Linked DNA regions of Saccharomyces cerevisiae S288C. Changing the gene in region 1 together with any one later gene gives a genetic interaction. Each region holds a gene or a part of one and is shown in the gene's direction. Other genes may lie near its edges.

Evidence for each region.
Region 2: mutations in GIM5 (region 1) and STE24 together harm fitness more than expected from each alone (negative genetic interaction), as found in Saccharomyces cerevisiae (5 studies listed by BioGRID, with this or other methods).
Region 3: mutations in GIM5 (region 1) and EAF3 together harm fitness more than expected from each alone (negative genetic interaction), as found in Saccharomyces cerevisiae (6 studies listed by BioGRID, with this or other methods).

The regions. Positions count from the first base shown.
Region 1 is NC_001145.3:80,318-83,349, forward strand, and holds GIM5 (Gim5p), read left to right. Parts: upstream 1-1,957; coding exon 1,958-1,973; intron 1,974-2,056; coding exon 2,057-2,532; downstream 2,533-3,032. Other genes in the region: YML096W (putative asparagine synthase), read left to right, coding at 1-1,169; DNA repair protein RAD10, read right to left, coding at 1,164-1,796; UTP14 (Utp14p), read left to right, coding at 2,773-3,032.
Region 2 is NC_001142.9:640,421-644,435, forward strand, and holds STE24 (zinc metalloprotease), read left to right. Parts: upstream 1-1,586; coding exon 1,587-2,948; downstream 2,949-4,015. Other genes in the region: YJR115W (uncharacterized protein), read left to right, coding at 1-31; TDA4 (Tda4p), read left to right, coding at 405-1,244; ILM1 (Ilm1p), read right to left, coding at 3,070-3,681; JHD2 (histone demethylase), read right to left, coding at 3,884-4,015. UniProt on the Saccharomyces cerevisiae protein: Proteolytically removes the C-terminal three residues of farnesylated A-factor mating pheromone. Also acts to cleave the N-terminal extension of the pheromone. Does not act on Ras.
Region 3 is NC_001148.4:607,759-611,888, reverse strand, and holds EAF3 (Eaf3p), read left to right. Parts: upstream 1-1,857; coding exon 1,858-3,063; downstream 3,064-4,130. Other genes in the region: i-AAA protease YME1, read right to left, coding at 1-1,408. UniProt on the Saccharomyces cerevisiae protein: Component of the NuA4 histone acetyltransferase complex which is involved in transcriptional activation of selected genes principally by acetylation of nucleosomal histone H4 and H2A. The NuA4 complex is also involved in DNA repair.

The DNA.
Region 1 (3,032 bases):
CTTATACTATATATGACGTGAACTCATCCAAACTCTATTTCGGCAGAGATCCAATTGGCAGGCGAAGTTTGTCTTATTCGGTCACTCCAGACAACGAATTGTACGTCGCTAGTGTAACGGGGTCTGCTGGGTCCTTTCAAGATTGTATAGGTGGAGTTATTTATGAATATGATACACGAACTAAGTTGTTAAATTCCAATCAGAGGTCACATCTTCCATACGAAGTGACATCAGAGATAGATCTGAATTTCACATCATTGTCAGAGGTGTCTAAAAATTTATATGCTGTGCTACGTGATTCTGTAAAAAAAAGGGTAGAGTCCATACATCCCAGGCATATTGAAAACTCTCCTATTGCGGTACTATTCTCAGGAGGAATTGATTGTTCAGTAATAGTAGCGTTGATCTGCGAGGTGTTGCAAGAAAATGATTATAAATGTGGAAAACCAGTTATAGAGCTTCTAAATGTATCCTTCGAAAACCCCAGGACTGGTCTTTTTCCCAGTGATACACCTGATAGAAAACTGTCCATTAACAGTGCAAAGACTTTACAAAACTTATATCCTAATGTTGATATCAAACTGGTTGAAGTTGACGTTCCTTATGATGAGTATTTAAAATGGAAGCCATTTGTTATCAATTTAATGTATCCTAAACAGACTGAAATGGACTTGTCTATAGCCATTGCTTTTTTTTTTGCGTCGAGAGGTAGAGGTTTCTTAACTTCTCTGAATGGGGAAAGAACGCCATATCAGCGCCATGGGATAGTGTTATTCAGCGGACTGGGAGCAGACGAACTCTACGGTGGATATCACAAGTTTGCCAACAAACCACCCCATGAACTTGTGGAGGAACTTACAAGGCAAATAAACAACATTTATGATCGCAACCTGAATCGTGATGATAAAGTGATAGCTCATAATGGCGTGGAGGTGAGATACCCATTTTTAGATGAATATGTTATAAAGTTATCTACAGCAGAAATTCCCATTAATTTCAAGGTTAACAAATTAATCCTTCGAAAAGTTGCCTCGCAGTATTTGAAGTTGGATGGAATATCATCAGAACCAAAAAGGGCCATTCAATTCGGTGCTAAAAGCGCTAAAATGACAAAGGATGGTAATAAGCATGGAACAGATTTATTAAAAGAAAATAGGAATTGTTCATAAATTCAAATATTCAATATATTTTGCAGCTTGTTCAAAATTAAATGCTAAAAGTAGAGTAAATCCGTTGAACATACATAGTTTTGTAATGTCATTAAGGGTATCTTCAGAGTTGTTATCGTCTACTATGAATATCAGTATATTATTTTCGTTTCTAGATAAGGGCTGCATTCTCCTAGAGATATAATCGACATATAATTTGTGATAAGTCAAAGTTAAGAACAGTACACTTCTTCCACGAACTAGATAGTCGTAGTATATCATATTAATTCCTGTTGAAGATACATATCTCCAATTGGTGCTCTTTAAGTGGTTCAGGAGTGGATTTTCTTTTTGGGTAGTGTTCACTAGTACAGTTTTTCCCGGTCGAGTACTCCTGAAGGGTCTCTTTCGATTATAGTCATCTGTAGCCTTTGAGTCGGTCCATTCTTCCGGTTTTTGCTGATTGAAGGCGTTTATGACCTGGTTTGAATTTATGCGTCTTGATGTTTGCGGTTCCTGCTGCTGGAGTTTTGATGCATCTATTTCTAACGATTGAGATCCAGTAGTATCTGCACCACTCTTTTCCTTTCTCAATTTGGCCACACCAGCCAATATACTTTCAAATGAAGTAGGATCAGTATTGTTCATCTTCTAGGATAACCAACTTTGTTTATGCCCTTTTTTGTGTTGCGTGGCTGTCTCATAAGTTACAATTTTCTTTTTTGTTCTAACGATTTTAAATAGAAAAGTGTCTTAGATGAAAATCTTGCTGTGACCCAAACAAGAAAGAGCACTGTAAAAATCAAGCCATGTCCTCTCAAAAAAGTATGTAAATGAATAGCTCCTTCGTTGTTGCCACCGTACAGACACTTTACTAACTTTTAAGTTACTACATGTTCGAAACTTAGTCGATTTAACTAAACTAAATCCCGAGCAGCTGAATGCTGTAAAACAGCAATTCGACCAAGAATTGCAGCATTTCACACAGTCCTTGCAAGCATTAACCATGGCTAAGGGCAAGTTCACAGAATGTATTGATGATATTAAAACAGTCTCCCAAGCAGGAAATGAAGGGCAAAAACTACTGGTTCCAGCATCTGCATCATTATACATCCCAGGTAAGATTGTAGACAATAAGAAATTCATGGTCGACATTGGTACAGGATATTACGTTGAAAAGAGCGCTGAAGCAGCAATCGCATTTTACCAAAAGAAAGTAGACAAGCTTAACAAAGAATCTGTACAGATCCAAGATATTATTAAGGAAAAGACCCAGTATTCCTTGTCCATCGAGGCCCAAATAAGACAAGCCGCTATTAGACAGCATGAAGCGATGAGTAAACAACAACAGCAGCAACAAAAAAAGGAGTCGTCTACAGCCTAGGTAACTCTTTTGCTTTTCCTACGATTTTTCATATCTCATTTGTAGCCATCTGATATACGTTTATCTATATGCAACGTAATTTTTTATTTATCGTCACTTTGTAGTTTTCCGGAAAAGGCCATTGAAAATTTTTCAAATTCCTATGGCGATGAGCTGAAAAAATTCATTAAGTGTGCATTCAATAACATCTTGTTATATACTAATAAAAGAGGCTTCAAGACAAAATAAGCTAACTTAAATATGGCAAAAAAGAAATCTAAGAGCAGATCCAAGAGTTCTAGAAGAGTTTTGGATGCTTTGCAACTTGCTGAGAGAGAAATTAATGGTGAATTCGATAACTCCAGCGACAATGACAAAAGACATGATGCTCGTCGTAATGGTACAGTTGTCAACTTGTTAAAAAGGTCAAAAGGTGACACTAACAGTGATGAAGATGATATCGATTCTGAGTCGTTTGAAGATGAGGAGTTGAACTCTGATGAAGCGTTGGGCTCTGATGA
Region 2 (4,015 bases), on another chromosome or scaffold:
TAATAACATCCGGCCCATTAGCATTATGTGATTAGCATGCATTTTCCCCTTTTCCTTTCTTAAGAACATTTTTACGACGCGGATCTGCCCGTCATCGCATACGAATGTTGAATCACGCCAGAATCACCAAAGAAAAAAACTCGTTCAGTTCCTAGGTTTTATGAGCCAGGAACAATAGACTTTTATCGCATATTATTTCTATACGTGCACTTATATATGCACACATATGTTTATATACATATACATACATACGTGTTTCTTTTCAGCCTGTGTTTTTGTCGGGTCCAAAAACATACAAGGCAACATAATATTTTGACATAACTCAACGCAACATAACAGTATAAAACATAGTTTAATAAAAGAGAAAAAAAAAACAATATTTTTAAGCTATCGCTCTTGCCGCAATGAACGCCAACTCTACCACGACAGCAATCGGCCTCACCAGCCCCTTCGAAAAGCTGTCCTTCTTCCCTCATTCGTCTAATTTAATACTGGCTCATTTGCATGAGATCATCTTCAGCTTCGTCTTCTACCAGCTCGCATTCTCCGTTGTCGCACCGTTCTTGAATAAAGTGGTCTTTCGCAAGCACTACACCACGATCCGTGACCCACTGCTGAAAATTGATTTCAATGTCCACACCGTCTCGATGATCCAGGCTGTCGTCTCGAACACCGTCCTGTTGCCCACCCTCACGACGCCAATGCATTATAATGTTGTCACCTACACAGATTCGTACAGTTCAATGGTATCTTCCCTCAGCGCAGGGTACTTTATCTGGGACTTGACTATGTGCGTGCGTTACTTCAAGCTTTATGGTCTCGAGTTCACGGGCCACGCCATTGGCTCCGTATATGTGATGCTGTTGTCCTTAAGACCGTTCTGCCAACCCTGGATCGGCAGGTTCCTTATCTACGAGGCCTCCACTCCCTTTGTGAACATCAATTGGTTCATCATGCAATGTAACGCCAAGAGCAAGAACTCTATCCCTCTGTGGTTTAATGTCGTCAATGGCCTTTTGCTCATGACTGTGTTTTTCGTCGTCAGGATTTGCTGGGGCTCCATCGCATCCGCTCTCTTATTCAGGCAGATGTGGAAGGTAAGAGACGAGTTACCCAAGTTTTCTGCTGTCACGATGATGTCGCTGAACATTTTCATGAACCTTTTGAACGTGCTTTGGTTCAAGAAGATGATTAGAATCGCCAAGAAACTTGCAAAACCAGCCCCAACGTCGAAGCTAGACTAAACCTACCTTTTTTTCTATCTTCAACAACGAAACGCCTTACACACACACACACATACATCTACATACATACATACAAATATACATATATGTAAACTTGTATATTCATTCCTATTAACCAAAAAGAGGCAATTAAACTTTTCCCTCTTTTTCTACGTCATTTACTCAAAAACTCTAATTCCTTCGTCTCTGTTCTGCCATTTTCTCCAGAAAAAAATCGACGGGAAATAAAAAAAAAAAGACAACGAACAAGAGAAAAAGTTCGCGAATTATAAACCACTTCTATAATTAACAGGAAAAGGAAGGAAAAAAAAGGAGGAAATAGAAAACTGCAGGCCTTTATTCATGTTTGATCTTAAGACGATTCTCGACCATCCTAATATCCCGTGGAAATTAATCATTTCTGGGTTCTCGATTGCCCAATTTTCTTTCGAATCTTACTTGACGTACAGACAGTACCAGAAGCTATCTGAAACAAAGTTGCCACCTGTGCTGGAAGACGAAATTGATGATGAAACTTTTCATAAATCAAGGAACTACTCCCGGGCCAAGGCCAAGTTCTCCATTTTCGGTGACGTCTATAACCTAGCCCAAAAGCTAGTTTTCATCAAATACGACCTCTTCCCTAAAATCTGGCACATGGCCGTTTCTTTATTGAATGCAGTCCTGCCAGTCAGATTTCATATGGTCTCCACTGTCGCACAGAGTTTATGCTTCTTGGGTCTCTTATCCAGTTTGTCTACCTTGGTTGATTTGCCACTCTCTTACTATAGCCATTTTGTCCTGGAAGAAAAATTTGGTTTCAATAAATTGACCGTCCAACTATGGATCACCGATATGATCAAGAGTCTGACTTTGGCGTATGCTATTGGTGGCCCAATCCTTTACCTGTTCCTTAAGATCTTTGATAAATTCCCTACTGATTTCCTTTGGTACATTATGGTCTTCTTGTTCGTTGTCCAAATCTTAGCCATGACAATCATTCCAGTCTTCATCATGCCCATGTTTAATAAGTTCACTCCATTGGAGGACGGTGAACTGAAAAAATCTATTGAAAGTTTGGCCGATAGAGTTGGGTTCCCTCTAGATAAGATTTTTGTCATTGACGGCTCAAAAAGATCTTCTCATTCAAACGCATATTTCACAGGTTTGCCATTCACCTCCAAGAGAATTGTTTTGTTCGACACTTTAGTGAACAGTAATTCTACTGATGAAATTACGGCTGTTTTGGCCCATGAAATCGGTCACTGGCAAAAAAACCACATCGTTAATATGGTCATCTTTAGTCAATTGCACACCTTCCTCATTTTCTCCCTTTTCACCAGCATCTACAGAAATACATCATTTTACAACACCTTCGGCTTTTTCTTAGAGAAGTCCACTGGCAGTTTTGTTGATCCCGTTATCACTAAGGAATTCCCCATTATCATTGGATTTATGTTATTTAACGACTTATTAACTCCACTCGAATGTGCCATGCAATTCGTGATGAGTTTAATTTCCAGAACTCATGAATATCAAGCTGATGCTTATGCTAAAAAATTGGGCTACAAGCAAAATCTATGTAGGGCTCTAATTGATCTACAAATCAAAAACCTTTCCACCATGAATGTAGATCCTCTGTATTCTAGCTATCATTATTCCCATCCAACTCTAGCTGAAAGATTGACCGCTCTAGACTATGTTAGTGAAAAGAAGAAAAACTAATCTATAGAGTACACATATTAGCATGTACCGTTAAATTCAGCTTCGTTATGTCTATATCTACATACATACACAGGTATCTACTATAAGAATAAAGGAAAGAAAAAATAAACGATTAAACATTTTATTTTTTTGCATCGCTATCATCATTACCTTTCTCATTGTTATCATCATTATCTTTCCCATCTTCATCGTCATTTTCTTCATCATTGATTATTTCAATGATTTCTGTGGTTTCAGTCTTCACGGTAAATGGTTGGGGTTCTTCAATATCCTCATCATTAACCATGAATTGGTTCAATCTTTTGAACTCTTCATTTTTCTCCTCCCTAATGGCATTATACAAAAGAAAATTTATCCAAACTTCTGCAAAACAGTAAATAAAAACAGAGTTATTGTGAACGTAAAAGTTTGACTCCCAAAGGTACGAGATACTTGTCAAAATAAAAAAAATTAGTAATCTAACTGGCACAACAGATTGGAAGTATTTAACATTGTTTTCTAACAGGGGAATTAGATCATGAACACCGTTAAGAGTAAACAGAAGAGCGAAAAGACCCAATTGACCACTATAACGTGACAGTGTTAACTGCGGTAAATTCATCGCTTGCGTTAAGACTATGAAATATGTATTTTGCAAAATAGAATTAACGTTCTTTAAACAAAAGAAGGCGATCGTGAATAAAAATGCTACTCTGAAAAAAGCAATATTGGTGGAGTTCAAGGCTTGAGCCATTTTCTTAGAATTTATTCTTTACTTTTGCTGAATGCGATACTCTATTATGTTGTAAATTGTTACACTACCATTCAATTGTCTCTCTTTAAAGATTGATCGACATTATTTTCTTTACTTTTTTGGTGTTTTCGCGCTAAAAGTGGCGTGCTAAATGCCAAGTATTATTCTAAAAAATCATTACGCCATACACAAATATTGAAGACTATCTATCTAACTTAACACCAACTTGCTTTATTAAAGAGTCAATATCCTTCAAAGACTTAGTGAAATACAATTCATCGTCAATATAAGGTTCTTCACCGTCGCTATTGTTCAAGTTTTGTATTGATTTTAA
Region 3 (4,130 bases), on another chromosome or scaffold:
CATTGTCTGCCAATGTAATCTTCTTCATGTGATGCTTTAAAATATCAGCACGACCACGAACATCTGGCAAATCCACATTCACAACCTTATCAAATCTACCTGGTCTAGTTAACGCCTTATCTAAAGCCTCAGGGAAATTTGTGGCACCAATAATAATAATTCCACTTGTTTGTGAGAAACCATCTAATTCGACCAATAACTGATTCAACGTTTGTTTGGCGTAAGCTTGGTCCTTTGGATTACGCTTACCACCGATGGCATCTAATTCATCAATAAAAATAATAGCTGGTGCACGAGAACGCGCTTGAGCAAACAAATCACGGATACGTTTAGCACCAACACCGACGTAAACTTCATCAAATTCAGAACCTGACATAAAGAAAAAATCTACACCAGCCTCTCCGGCAGTGGCCCTAGCCAACAAAGTTTTACCTGTACCAGGAGGTCCAGTCAACAGTACACCCTTTGGTAGTTTACCACCCAAGGACTCGTACTTAGTTGGATCTTTCAGGAAATCAACAATTTCTTCCAATTCCGCACGGGCCTCATCACAACCGCAGACATCATCAAATTTAACATTTGTCTTAGCTACATCAACTGATTTGTCGGCTACTTCTGACGACTTTAGTAGCGTTGTATTTTCTGTGATGTATTTAAAACCTTCAGAAAAAGAGTAGGTTAAGATACCGAAAACAAGCAGCCACTTTACCCATCTCGATACAACAGTAAAAGTTGATTCAGATACGACAACATGTAGTGGCTCTTTGCGAGATCCATAAAGCGGAGAATACATCGATGGAAAGTTACCATGATAACCTGACTGGTTTGATGAAGATGACGCCAATGATGGGTTAACTGCGCCAGCAGAGCTGGCTGTCAGTAGGTTTTGTCTAACGGCATCAGCCTCCGAGTGTCTGCCTATCCTCTGCAGGGCCTCCATGTACAGTTCCATGCATTCAGGCGATGACGCAATACCGGGGGTCTCAAACCTAGAGACCACGTATTGCGGGTAGTTTGATTGTAAGAGAAGTTTGTAAAAGGCTGCTTGTGCATCAGGACTCGTTAAGTCTTTATTGGCCTCTTGTTCTCTAGTTGCTAGCATAGCATGTGACACAGCTACGTTCGCTTGTTTGGTTTTATCATTAGTGTTCGATGGAGGTGGTGGTTGCGAATTGTCGATTGAAGATATCGTGGATTTATTGGATGCCTTTCCAGAGCTATCAGCTTCCTTCTTAGGAGGCATTTCACCGCTATTCTTTTCAGAATAAAAACGGTAGAACTTCTTTGATCTTAAGGCCCATTTTTTTTGAACTAACAAAGAAGCACCGATTTGAGGTAGCCTGGGAGCAAATATGCGTAAAACATTTGTCGTGACCGTGGGCGACACAAGTATTTTTGAAACGTTCATCTATCACGTCTCTGTTTTCGTTCTATCCACAATGTATTATAATTAAAAATTGCTTCAATAAAATCCTGTTTATCCTTTAAGCTGTGCTTGCTTTTTACTTATCAAAAACGCAAGGTAGAGATTTAACTCACTTCACCAACTCCGATATATTGCCTTTTCACTACCGCTACAGCGTACAGGAGCTACCACTCCTCGAAGAAAGAGGTACCATGTGATTCGAGATTACTAACCAACCGATGCTGATAGAAAAAGGTGGCGAAGATTGGGGGCCGTTCCTCCGGCGATCGCCACATATCGCATTTCACGAAAGATGAAAATAAAGATGCATCCGAAATCCCGACCAGAAACGTAAAAGGGTATATTGCAAAACAGTCGTTAAAAGCATATAGCATTTTGCATTAGCATCTGTGAGGCCTCGTCACTGGATTTACCCTATTGAAGAACGTATAATGGTTGATTTGGAGCAGGAATTTGCGCTCGGTGGGCGGTGTCTGGCATTCCATGGTCCTCTTATGTATGAAGCAAAGATCTTGAAAATATGGGATCCATCTTCGAAAATGTATACCAGCATTCCTAATGACAAGCCAGGTGGTAGTTCACAAGCAACTAAGGAAATAAAGCCACAAAAGCTGGGAGAAGATGAAAGCATTCCAGAAGAGATCATTAATGGGAAGTGTTTTTTCATACATTACCAAGGCTGGAAGTCGAGTTGGGATGAGTGGGTTGGATATGATAGGATACGGGCCTACAATGAAGAGAATATTGCCATGAAAAAAAGACTGGCGAACGAGGCGAAAGAAGCTAAGAAATCGTTACTGGAACAGCAGAAAAAAAAGAAGCTCTCCACTAGTCTGGGAGGGCCTAGTAATGGTGGAAAAAGAAAGGGAGACAGCCGCTCGAATGCTAGTATAAGTAAGAGCACTTCACAGAGTTTTTTAACATCTTCAGTGAGCGGCAGGAAAAGCGGAAGAAGTTCCGCTAATTCCCTCCATCCTGGCAGCTCTTTGCGCTCGTCATCCGACCAAAATGGGAATGATGACCGCAGAAGATCTTCTTCGCTATCGCCAAATATGCTACATCATATTGCCGGCTATCCAACCCCCAAGATTTCCCTTCAAATTCCCATAAAATTGAAGAGCGTGTTAGTCGACGATTGGGAATACGTAACGAAGGACAAAAAAATTTGCAGACTACCCGCTGATGTGACGGTAGAGATGGTACTGAATAAATACGAACATGAAGTGAGTCAAGAATTGGAATCGCCAGGGTCCCAGTCACAGTTGAGCGAATACTGTGCCGGTCTCAAGTTGTATTTTGACAAGTGCCTGGGTAATATGCTTTTATATAGGTTGGAACGGCTGCAATATGACGAACTTCTGAAAAAATCATCGAAGGATCAAAAGCCACTAGTACCAATTAGAATTTATGGGGCTATCCATCTGTTAAGGTTGATAAGTGTTTTACCAGAGCTGATCTCGTCTACTACAATGGATCTACAAAGCTGTCAGCTTTTAATCAAACAAACCGAAGACTTCTTGGTTTGGTTGTTGATGCATGTGGACGAATACTTCAATGACAAGGATCCAAATAGAAGTGACGATGCTCTGTATGTAAATACGTCTAGCCAATACGAAGGAGTGGCTTTAGGTATGTGAGACGTTTATATTCTAGCTTGGGATTATTTCTAGTATTTAGTTCTTCCGTATTTATGCAATAACTCTTCACAGAATATCTCGTGTAAGAATATGGACACTGTTCGTGGCACTTTACGAAATTCAAGTTTATTCTCTTTGCAAGGTTCTTAGGGTAATGGCAGCTCTGAAAGGGGCTTGTCGAGTTAAAACATCATTAATGATTATATTTTATTTTTGTTATTTTTCTGACGTATCCATCGTTTCGCATCTAGTATGAGCTTACTAAGAGCTTCGTATATAATGTACTATCATCTTCACTTACTCGTTTGCACACTACCAAGTTCTGTCCAGGGCTCCTTGTTTTATATTTTTAGTGTAATTGCATGGTCTATGCAACATGATTAAAGCAGCATCACACGCGCCATTATATAATCTAAAATAGTCCGTTGTCGTGCGCATTCTTCTGTGGCGCGTCTTATATGAGAAAAGGGTCTTTCGAAGTCATTAACCCTCTGACGCAGCAAAAAACAACTTTATGCAGGGTTTACTTCATACAGAAAGACACTTGCTTGTTGTCAATGGCTAAAAAGGACCTCAGGCAAAAGCGTAGGATAATTACAAGTTGTTCGAAAAGGAGTTGTTTATATTTATTCATCGCTCAATGCAGAAGCATAACAATTGTAATAACACTCATTATAGATAGAGCTTGCATTAAATACACGTCTATCCTTTCAACCCAAGGCATTTGAAGGAAAGGAATGAAAAAGAGGAAACGTTTGATATTCGTCAGGCTATTACTTGACTATGAAACATGTACAGGTTGGTCTACTGCTGTAAAAAAAAAAAAAAGTCCTTAACTCGCTTATTTAAGGGAACCATTATTTTCGGGGATTGTAAATTTACTGACTATGCAATGAGTTTAACAGGCTGATCAATTATGCCCTAGCAAAAAAAACTGAAATGATGCACCTCGAACTCTAGTGCATTAGCTTGAAGCTTTATTCTCCTGCTAAAAAAAAAAAAAAAGTACTAATTTGCTTGGAAGCGAGCACCCTATTGCTTTTAAAATTCTCCATATGGGCTTCCCC